Linked DNA regions of Schizosaccharomyces pombe. The gene in region 2 interacts genetically with the main gene of each other region. Each region holds a gene or a part of one and is shown on either strand. Other genes may lie near its edges.

Evidence for each region. Genes that interact genetically often act in the same process or in processes that back each other up.
Region 1: mutations in cbp7 (region 2) and tfa2 together harm fitness less than expected from each alone (positive genetic interaction), as found in Schizosaccharomyces pombe (one large-scale study listed by BioGRID).
Region 3: mutations in cbp7 (region 2) and tim13 together harm fitness more than expected from each alone (negative genetic interaction), as found in Schizosaccharomyces pombe (one large-scale study listed by BioGRID).

Annotation. Positions count from the first base shown.
Region 1 is NC_003421.2:578,661-582,154, forward strand, and holds tfa2 (transcription factor TFIIE subunit Tfa2), read right to left. Parts: upstream 1,898-3,494; 5' UTR 1,654-1,897; coding exon 796-1,653; 3' UTR 560-795; downstream 1-559. Other genes in the region: SPOM_SPCC1672.09 (triglyceride lipase-cholesterol esterase), read left to right, coding at 1,933-1,967, 2,006-2,462, 2,579-2,966, 3,012-3,494. UniProt on the Schizosaccharomyces pombe protein: Recruits TFIIH to the initiation complex and stimulates the RNA polymerase II C-terminal domain kinase and DNA-dependent ATPase activities of TFIIH. Both TFIIH and TFIIE are required for promoter clearance by RNA polymerase.
Region 2 is NC_003423.3:1,841,354-1,845,560, reverse strand, and holds cbp7 (protein Cbp7), read right to left. Parts: upstream 2,195-4,207; 5' UTR 2,101-2,194; coding exon 1,030-2,100; 3' UTR 558-1,029; downstream 1-557. Other genes in the region: U3 snoRNP-associated protein Esf2, read right to left, coding at 1-399; Rho-type GTPase-activating protein Rga4, read right to left, coding at 2,795-4,207. UniProt on the Schizosaccharomyces pombe protein: Translation factor for cob1/cytochrome b; plays a role in cob1 mRNA stabilization and required for correct folding of the protein.
Region 3 is NC_003424.3:4,482,450-4,485,216, forward strand, and holds tim13 (TIM22 inner membrane protein import complex subunit Tim13), read left to right. Parts: upstream 1-1,541; 5' UTR 1,542-1,628; coding exon 1,629-1,745; intron 1,746-1,803; coding exon 1,804-1,872; intron 1,873-1,915; coding exon 1,916-2,017; 3' UTR 2,018-2,208; downstream 2,209-2,767. Other genes in the region: G-protein-coupled receptor Stm1, read right to left, coding at 1-326; endodeoxyribonuclease Pnu1, read right to left, coding at 2,386-2,767. UniProt on the Schizosaccharomyces pombe protein: Mitochondrial intermembrane chaperone that participates in the import and insertion of some multi-pass transmembrane proteins into the mitochondrial inner membrane.

The sequences.
Region 1 (3,494 bases), on a different chromosome or scaffold from region 2:
ACGTATTTAAAGGAAAGCACTGAAGTGACCAACATCGATCTTCTATTTAGTCATGCACTCTGCTTTCTTATATTTACGAATTACCATATATTTCTACATCTTTTAGAGTTAGCAGTATAGGATAAAAATGGTGATAAATTATAAATTTATATATAAAATATACATAATATAACGTTCTACTAACTAGCTCCCGTGGCCTAATGGCTAGGGCATTTGACTTCTAATCAAGGGATTGCGGGTTCGAGTCCCGCCGGGAGCTAATATTAATTTATTTTTTCGTTACAAAAATGCATGCTAATGAAATCAATTTATTAGCATGAGTGAAGAAATACGTTTTTTTTCCTTTCCACAAAACATTCACCTACATAAACACACCTTTCAATACATAACTGATCTTTCTATTTCGACAATGCACAAAAGGGAAAGATAAGAATTTCTGTTTAAACTAAATGTAATTGTCTACTTAGTCACTGTATACTAGTGCAAATTAACTACAGAGCAATAAATGCACTTGTCAACAATACCGACTAATTGTCAGCTAATATAGGTTTAACAGTTTATGTAAAAAATCATCATCATTAAACAATAGAGTTTTCTTCCATAGTTGCAAATAGATTAGAAGAAACAAAGAGGAAATATGTCCAGTCCATGCAAATCTTGGAAAAAGGAATGTAAGATAGATAGCTATTTTTTCAAACACATCCAGTACCAGACAACAACACAGTAACCGGATGAAATTAAATACCAAAAGCAACACAGTTTTTAGTTAAAAAATATGGGATCCTTAATATGATTTCAAGGTTTCATGGAGCTATAATCACGAAGAATGTTAAGGTGTGTATTCGTAATCTTTCCACGTCGAGTTTTGGGCTTCTTTTGTTTAGGCGTTTGATTATGACCAGCACGCTTTACGGTTGAAGGATCCACGCTAGTGGGCTTTAAACCGTATTTTCCAAGTTCAGAAGCTAAATCCAAAGTGGGTGGAATGGGAATCTCATGCCAAACTTGTTGAAACTCCTTATCGACATGACAATCGCAGCTCTTGTCATTTCTCCATACCATTTTAGGAACGCCATCCTTCCTTGTACGTAATAAAAGCACTTCTCCCTGTTTTTCTAGTTCTTCAAGTTCAACAGTAACGTTGGGCCATCCGTCTCGAAGCTCTTTGATACTCATACCAACGTGGGTTTTTTGTGAATCTAAATATGCTAATAAACCTGCTCCTGAGCGAATGTTATGCAATGGCTTAAAGGTAAACGTTTCATTTCTTTCATCATAATAAATGCGATTATTTTTCTTCAAAAGATTGAGTAACATAGGAGTCAATGGAGTTGACAGGTAAGAAGCAATTTCCTCAGCCGTTTTAGGCTCATTTCTCTCTTTTAAATACTCAACTGCATAGTGTAGCTGTGATAAATAATGCGTTCCAACACCAGAATCAGCGGGTTGCGAGTAAACCAAAGACGTCTTTGAGCGCTTTTTCTTCAGGGAATACGACCCTGGACTTGAAGCGGCAGAAGAATGTCCATCATTTGAATTCAAATAAGCTGTTGGAGTCGGAGAAGCTGGTTGACGAGGTTGAGGTTTTGCATAAATAGGTTGATTTGCGACTTTCTTTTTAAACGAAGATAATTGATCGCTTAGTGAACTCATAGCCTTAAAAGTAGTTGTTAGCTTGTCGGAAATGAAACTATCAAACGGTGGGCAAATTCTGTTCAAAATTATGACCCAAGGCTTTGTTAACAAAATCGAACTTATAGACCGACAACCTTGTAAAAAAATAGAAAACAAACAAAATATTTATCTCTGTTTGCAAAATACTAAAATAAATTTAAAAGGCTATTGCTTTTAAACCAATTTCAAAAGTCCCCCCAAAAATAGTTGTTTGGCAGAGGGCAAGGTTTAGTACCTCCATTCCACGCAATATGCGAAATGATTCAGTTACCGTTTATTCAGCGTCTAAAATGGTATGCAAATCTTTTAATATATTAACTGACAAATAAAGGGAAGAGTATATGGCCCTATTTTTGGGGTTTTTCTTTGTAATCTTTGAAAAATTACTTTCATGCCTGGCCTTCATGATTCACAATACGCTAGGCTTGTTTTATCGATCAGTAGTTCGAAATGAGATTAAAAAACGTTCAAAGAAAAGATCAAGGTCGAGAAGCGTTAGCCTTCAAAGGGCAAAGGCAATTCACGATGCAGCTGACATACGAGAAATGTGCAAAATTTCTGGGTATTATGTTGAGGACCATCTCGTTAGAACAGAGGATGATTACATACTTTGTATTCATAGGATATCGAAGGATTCCCCTGGAAGAATTGGTTCTCCTCATCCCAAAAAGCTTCCGGTCGTTTACTGTCATCACGGTCTTTTGATGAATTCGGAAGTCTGGGTTTGTAATGTAGACCCCAGAAATTGCCTAGTATTTGATCTCGTAAATAAAGGATACGATGTTTGGGTAAGTATTTTGCTGCGTTCAATTTATCATATTTTAAATAATTAGTTACTGGTAAAGTTAATATGGTTTTCGTTCGAGTTTTCTTTTTTAAAAATTATTTACTAATTGTGCTTAAGCTCGGAAATAATCGAGGAAATAAATACAGTCGTCAACATCTTCGCTTCGACTCTACTGACAAGGAATTTTGGGACTTTAGCATTGACGATTTTGCTCAATACGATATTCCCGATACCATTGACTATATTCTAAAAACTTCTGGGCAAACAAAGCTCACTTATATAGGATTTTCTCAGGGCACTGCTCAAGCTTTTGCTTCTTTGAGTATCCATCCCCTGTTGAATGACAAAATCAACTCTTTGATAGCGTTAGCACCTGCAATTAGTCCAAAAGGTTTACATAACAGAGTTGTAGATGCCTTTGTAAAAGCCAGACCTTCCATATTATTTTTCCTTTTCGGACGAAAATCTATTTTGCCGTCTGCCGGATTCTGGCAAAGCTTTTTAGGTACGGTTTTTTTCTTTTAATAATTTCACTGACATTTTTATCCAGCTCCAAAATTTTTTGATGCAGTCCTTGCATACTGTTTGTCTCAGTTATTTAACTGGTCTTGCCAAAACATTTCTTCCTATCAACGCTTGGTTTCATTCGCCCATTTGTATTCATATACTAGTGTAAAGTGCCTTGTGCATTGGTTTCAAATCATGAGAAGCGCAGAATTTAGAATGTATGATAATGACCAGCTTGGTCATGACTATTTCCTCAAATATTACAAAGCTGCCAAATTCCCTACAAATAATATTCGCACCCCTATTTATCTTATTTGGGGAGGCAGCGACTCACTCGTTGATATCCAAGCGATGTTGAATGCTTTGCCTGCGGAGGTGGAGCATGTTAAGGTTGATAGCTATGAACACTTGGACATGATTTGGGCAGACACAGTTAAAGATTATGTTATACCTCCTGTACTACGAAGGCTTCGTGACATTCACCATCCACCAGAGCATGAGGAGAATGATAAAGAAAATCGTGAAA
Region 2 (4,207 bases):
CATGTAAGGAGGGATACGAGAAAGATATATAACTCCTGAACGCTTAATAGCTTTTCTTTGCTTTTCAACTTCTTCAAGTGATATTTTTTTTATAGAATTTGCATTTTTTGTGGTCTCCTCATCCAGCTCATTTTCAGAGCCGCCTGAAAAGTCTTCATGGTCTGAAGTTTCAGACTCGAACGTGGAATCTCTCCGGAAGCGATCAAGATGGGCATCTCGTTCCTCAAGCTCATCGGCGGAGCTTTCAGATTTGACCTTTAAAACGTCTACAACTGGTTTTGTTGATCTTGAGGAACGAATAGCTTTTAAAAATCGTTCATCTTCTTCATCTTCACTCAAATCTTGGTCAACGTACTTCTCTTCTTCTTCGGCCCCAAATAATTGTTCAGCTGTAGACATATTTGGCTAATGATTTGCTTGTTGGTTTACTTTTCAATCTAAAAGTTAAGAAGTAATCTTTTAAAGAAATTCTATGCCACAACAACTTAATCTTCGAAACGCCTAAATTGTAGAAATGAAAACTTCTATACACTCGAGTTTCATGAATTTCAAGTGACAATAAATTGTTACCTAAAAAGGAAAACCGTGAAAAAAGATGAGAATGAAATGATTTTAGTAATATTTTATGTTATTTATAACTAACATTTTTCAAGTTAATGATCTATGATCAATAAAAAGGTAATAGAGGCTGTTTGCAATCTCAACAAAGTATAGGTGTTCAAATTATTTGAAAGATGAGTGAATCCTCGAAGATAAACAAAGGAGTGACTAAGAATGAAACATCATGGGGGAGTGGTTATAATTGACAATGCTTTATCTGAGATACAGTAGTCTTCAGTAGCTTTTGGATCAGGCTAAGAATTAAATTTAGCGATATTTTATCCCTAGATTTCTTTTGCTTTTTCTTTTTAACATAAAAAATTGAAAACAACCTTCTCTCGAAATTATGGTGAATTTATTAGAACGGATTGAACAGTTAAATTACCAGTAGATGGAATATGTTCGGTCAATTTTTCACCTCATATCAAATCAAAGCACTAATTTGGATACATCCTTATCAAAATATTCCTTTTCAAGATGAGCAAGACGCTTTCTTGAAATTATGCTATGAAACGACTGTTTATCGGGCTGAAACACTTTAGCATAAGGCGAATCACAAGTATAACAAGTTTGCTTTAAGAATGTAAATAGAGAATCATTACTGTCAATATGCTTTAAAGCGAACTTCAGTAACTCCTTAACATGAAGCAATCTTTCCCTAGGATCGAAATAAACTTGAGGACCAATATTAAAAAATTTGCATGCTTGATTTTCAGAGCTTTGAAGTAACAAGTGGGGAGAAAAAAATGATTTATCAAGAATATGGAAATATGGTAATTTAGAAAGTACTTCGATCCACGCATTCGCAGCTTTTTGCCTGAGTAATGGAGTAGGAAAAATTTGAATTAAAAAAGCCATAGAGTCACATAACTGTGCAGAAAGCATCTGTGAAAAATTTGAAAAATTTACATAGTCCCTTTCAAAGGAACCCATCAAGTCAAGTAAAGGGGACCTTTGGTTTAACGGAAACTGTTTACAGGCTCTAGCTACCGTACACTTCTCCAAAGGTGTACGAGGAAGTTTGCTAAGGTTGAGACGATAACTGAAAGAATCACTAATTAAATTAAATGGAAAAGATTTGAATAGAGTTTGGAACCTGCCAAGGTATATTCGCGGTCTGGTTTCAGTCTTTGGAAATAAACTGTAGCAATCCTCCCACAAGGAAACACTTTGATTTAAAAGTACAATGGTACTAGTTTCATCAAGACAGCTTCCAAATCTTTTCAAAAGGCTCCTTGTTTTGGTGATTTTAGAGTCCACAAGTAGGCATTCTATATGTTTGGGCTTTTGACTTCGAAGAAGAATGTTGTCAACTCGTTTAGGAATTGCAGATGAATTTTTTTTATAAACAATCGCCTTTGGCTCTAGCATTTTGCTGTGCAGCTTACAATGGGTTAGGATAACCGGTCTTTGGTCAACTGGTTTTTTTATTTGAGACTTTGCGACGAACCAGCCGGCTTCAGTCGGGCCCAAAATGCATCGTTTAATAACATCTGCCATTAGTAAAATTCCGTAATTTTGTTCACATAGATAATAAAATATCCTGCTTAAAGACCCTCTTTTCTCAAAAAAAAGTGGTAGTAAAACAGGAGTTGGTTTTTTGTTAGACGTTCGAAACTCTATTTAACCCCCTTCAAAAAATTTACCATATAACGTATATAATTTTTGTTTATAGGAATTGCTTTTGGTTTTTTAGAATTCCATTAAGATAATGGGCATGATATATCTACAAAATCACTTACTCACAATACGTTGCACTAGCATTTCCTAAGTTAGGGATCTTGGGAAAAAATGCTTCTTTAAATCCTTGAAAGCATAATAAAATTAAAAAAAAATACAAATTTCTCCTTTTTTATACATGCAATTGCATTTTATTCATAGCCTAGCATTGTGAGTAATGCCAAGTAGACTAAAACAGGGAAATGATTAAATAAAAGCGATGGATGTCAGTCTGCAGTGATAATGCATTATGAAGAAGCTATACGCCAAATCCATAAAACACTCATCTGCCACTGATTTCACGATGACATCTAAAAATGACCAAAAATGAAACTATCTTAGCAAATGCAAAAAGGAATCTCGATATAACTGCCCAAAGTTATGGTACAACTACTAAAACAACAAAAAAAGACGAATAAAGAATATAAAGGAACGTGCAAAACAAAAGAGCGAATTATTAAAGGATAGTGTGAATTTAGGCAAAGACTTCATGTACATGATCTATCAAAAACGCAAGACTGTAATTCTTAACAGTCATGTCAATAACGTCTCTGGAATTATCGGGGTCGCGTATTAATGTTGGGGAAAATACTACTGCAAGGTTCTTGGATGTCATTCGATTTGCATGACTATATGCAGCAACCCTTGCTAAATGTCTAATAATGAGCTGCAAAATTTCAGCATGAGCTGGAGGAAGACTTTTGATGACCATTATAAAACCGTCTAATTTATCTTGGAAAGAGGCACAATTTGCTGCTGTGATGAACGGAAAGTATTGGTCATAGGTAATAATTGGATTAGGAAGGTTGCGAAGATATTGCTTGAATACAGAAGTGACAGCAGAAATATCCTCACTTGGATCAAGTACCGTATCTTCATTTCTTAGTAACGCAACAATTTTTTTCATTTGAGAAGTTGCCCCTGATTTGCGATACAGACCTTCAAAATCCATGCCGTATGACTCGATAAAATTTATACAAGAAACGATAAGCGTCGGGACTCTCAAGAGTGTTAGCCTGTTTTGATCGAAGTCGTCAGGATTCAAAGCCCAAACAGGAGATTCGCTTTTTTTAGATTGATACTGACGATCTATAGTAGAACTAACGCAATCCTGATAATGTGCTCTAAGCTCATTGGAGTATTTACCGCAAAGTTTGCAGTGACCGACCGCTGGAACGAAATCCTCTTGTTCTTCAGAAGCTAAATGTTCTTCAGAAATACTGGGAGTACTCGACATGTGAGGAGAATCTCTTTTCCAATGAAACCGTTTAGAAAATGACTTCTTAAGATCTATTTTAGAGTTCCGTTTGTTATACCCTCCACTCTCCTTGTCTTTATTGTCTTTGGGTCTAAATCCAAGGCTAGATGCAACCATTTGTAGACGCGAAAACGATTCTCGCGGAGACGGGGTTGAAATCGTTCGGTTGGATTTTTTATCATTATTAAATATTCCGAAAGAGGAAGAAGTTCGCTTCTTATGCTGCTGCTCCCTCAAGTATGCCAATTCTCTCTCCAATTGATTGTTAAGGCTTACCAGTTCTGTGTTCTTAACATTCAGATATGCGGTTTCTTCCATTACAGTGCTGTAAGCGTTTTGCAATTTAGAGACAGTCGTAGACAAAGCGTCTCGCCTCAAAAGTAAGGTAGACAGTTCAGGTTGAAAAGATTTCCGTAAATAATCTAATCTATAATTTAAATCTGCAACCAACTCTTGCTTGAAAGCTTCGGGGGACACGGGAGTCTGCTGCTCTATGATAGAAGCCAACGAAGTCGCTTCCAACAATAAGGTTCCAACCTCAGCTTGAAGCTCTGAAATACGAATGGCGAGTTCATTTGCGCTTTCCTCTGTAGCATCAAATACGTTTGAAGTAAACACATCACTTGCTCT
Region 3 (2,767 bases), on a different chromosome or scaffold from region 2:
CGACTGGCAATACGACGGGCAGCTTTCCAACGATAGTAGTAAATTTGCATAAGTAGGGTACTGTCAGAGACAATGTAATAAAATGAGAGAACCAATACAGTAGAAGAGACATTTCCGTAAATGGAACCAAGTACATTGAAGAAATCGCCAATAAGCCAGATGATTAAAAATAAATCAGAGATACTTTCACCAGACTGGTTTTTATAATTTTCAAGTAATTGAGGGATCAGTAAAACGACCCAACATCCCAGGGATAATGCTCCTAAAAATGAAGACAACTCCGTGAGTATGTTAGCCATATCAAAAGAAGGAGCTATCACAGACATGGGACAAAAATGCTTGCGAACAGATAATTTTAAAATGAATTTGAGAAGAGCTTGTCTAAGCTTTTTATGGTCAAAGTTTTTTATATGAGTGTGGAGGACAATAAATAAAAAGAACGGGAAACAAAGGGCTACAAAAGCGAAGCAACCTGAAAGGGAAATCAAACTATTAATTTAATAGGAATGATAAGCAATTATTAAAATTTGTCAACTTCCTCGAACGTGTAATGCTTCAGCACTATAATATTCGCTGATTTATTTTAGCGATCCAAGAGATGATACTTAATGAAAATTCGTTACAAGTATTTTTTTTTGTTTTAAAAAATAAACACTAAAAGGAATATCTATAATAATAATAATAACAATGGTAAACAATATTTCTCCCACTGTAAAGAAACAGAAGAGATTTGGTGGTGAGTTTGGCTCTGGATAAGATCAACCTCCCAGCCGTCCTGTTATTTATTTACCTCGGGCAAGGCTATATAGAGATTTCAAGATAAGAAAAATTTGCCGCCCATGCAGTTTCGCAGAATTAAGAAAGTGTCCGTGGATTTACAGATACAATTGATAGTCAATCCAAAGGTATCATTCTAAAGAAATATAAAGGAATAGTAAGCGAAATAGATTTTCCTTCGAATAATCCTATTTCACTTAACAATATAATTCTCAATGTAAATAACAGTCGCATTAATTTTATCAATGTCAAGCTAACTCGTTTTTGTTATAAAATTTAATACACCATAATATCGCTAGCAGTATTAAACATTGAAATGTTTACGTGACTTGTTTGATTCTCAGATTATTTGCAGTAAAAGATGTGCTAATTCCATGATTTAATTTCGAGACTATAAAACTCTATAAAAATTTCTTACAAATTGGGATTTTTATTTTTTTTTCTAAACAAGGGTAATGAAAAGTCATGAACGATTCATTTCGTATATTAAAATATTAAAAATAATAATAATAAAAAAACGCTGAAAAAACTTTTATTTCTAAACTCACCAAAAGGACCCGAATAGTATATCTATCCATTAGTTTAGAAATATTTTATTAAATCTTTTTTTTTTATACCAAGTAGAAAACAAAACAAAGATTGCTGTCTGGTTGTATCGCATATGTCAGCATATTAGAAAATCCATTTTCTATTAACGAAGTCTAATTGGTGATGATGGCCGGTTTCTGAATTAGTCTCCCTAAGTACACCGTTTGGTACTTTCCACGAACGTACCATTTCCTCATTAATTTTCCTTGTAAAGGAGTAAAAATTATCCACATTCATAAGTTTTAACGTTATACTTAAACAAAATGGGCATTTTCGGTGGAAATAGTGGAAATGCACCTTCTTCTGAAGACAAAAAATCCATTTTCATGAAACAAATTCGTCAGGAACTTGCTGTTGCTCAAGCTGGCGAATTGATAAGTGTATGCTCCATTCATTTTTTATGTTTTATTGAATGTTTTAACTAATCGGTTTATCTAGAAAATCAATGAGAACTGTTTTGATAAATGTATCCCGGAGCCTGGTTCCACATTCGATCCCAATGAAAAGGTATGAGAACTATTAAAATACTTTTATTCTAACTAGACAAAAGTCTTGCGTTTCCAAATGTATGGAACGCTATATGGATGCTTGGAACATTGTTTCTCGAACCTATATCTCTCGTATGCAACGAGAGCAGAAAAATCTCAACTGAATAATAATGATTTTTTTTTCTATCATTTTGTTTTACTCTCCTATGATATGTGTCTTGTTGTATAGTTGTGAAGTGACGGCAAAGCTTAATATGCAACGTAGAAATTTTTCTTTTCAACGTAGCTCACGCGCTTTCTCTCTAATAATTATAAACTTTCAGCAATTAAAATTCGTTTCATGTTCTTTTCCTAATCATGCTAAACACTTACAAGTGTTGTTATACTACTGGGTAAAATACTTATAATTGTTTCTTTGACATGTAGCATTTAAGTATTATTGTGTAAATAACAGTTTAAATATTTTCATAATAAAGAACGATCACCGGAAAAACTAGAAAAACTAGAGATTCATTAAATTTCCTTATTCTTATCATTTACCTTGATTCTTTTGTTTTTGTTTAACTGATTCAACAAACTCCTTAACATTTAACTGACACACCACTTCACTGCAAAGTTGTTTTCGGTTACCCTTGGGTACGTTTGATAAGATCTCTAATCCGCTTGCTCGTTCCACAACCTCAACGGGAACTGCAAAGTTCTTTAACGGAAAGTTGTCAGCAATAGGTTTGTTGGGAAGAACGAATGCAGCTACTGATGGACTTGAGGTAGGCTCTCCTGATTTTTCTGCAATGATTACTTTAAAAAAATGAGTAGGAACTGCGACGTTGGGAGGATTGCCAATTACTCGATACTGAACTTCCCATTGTCCACGTTCATTTTTTTTAGGTAAATACAGCGGTCCCGTCATTATG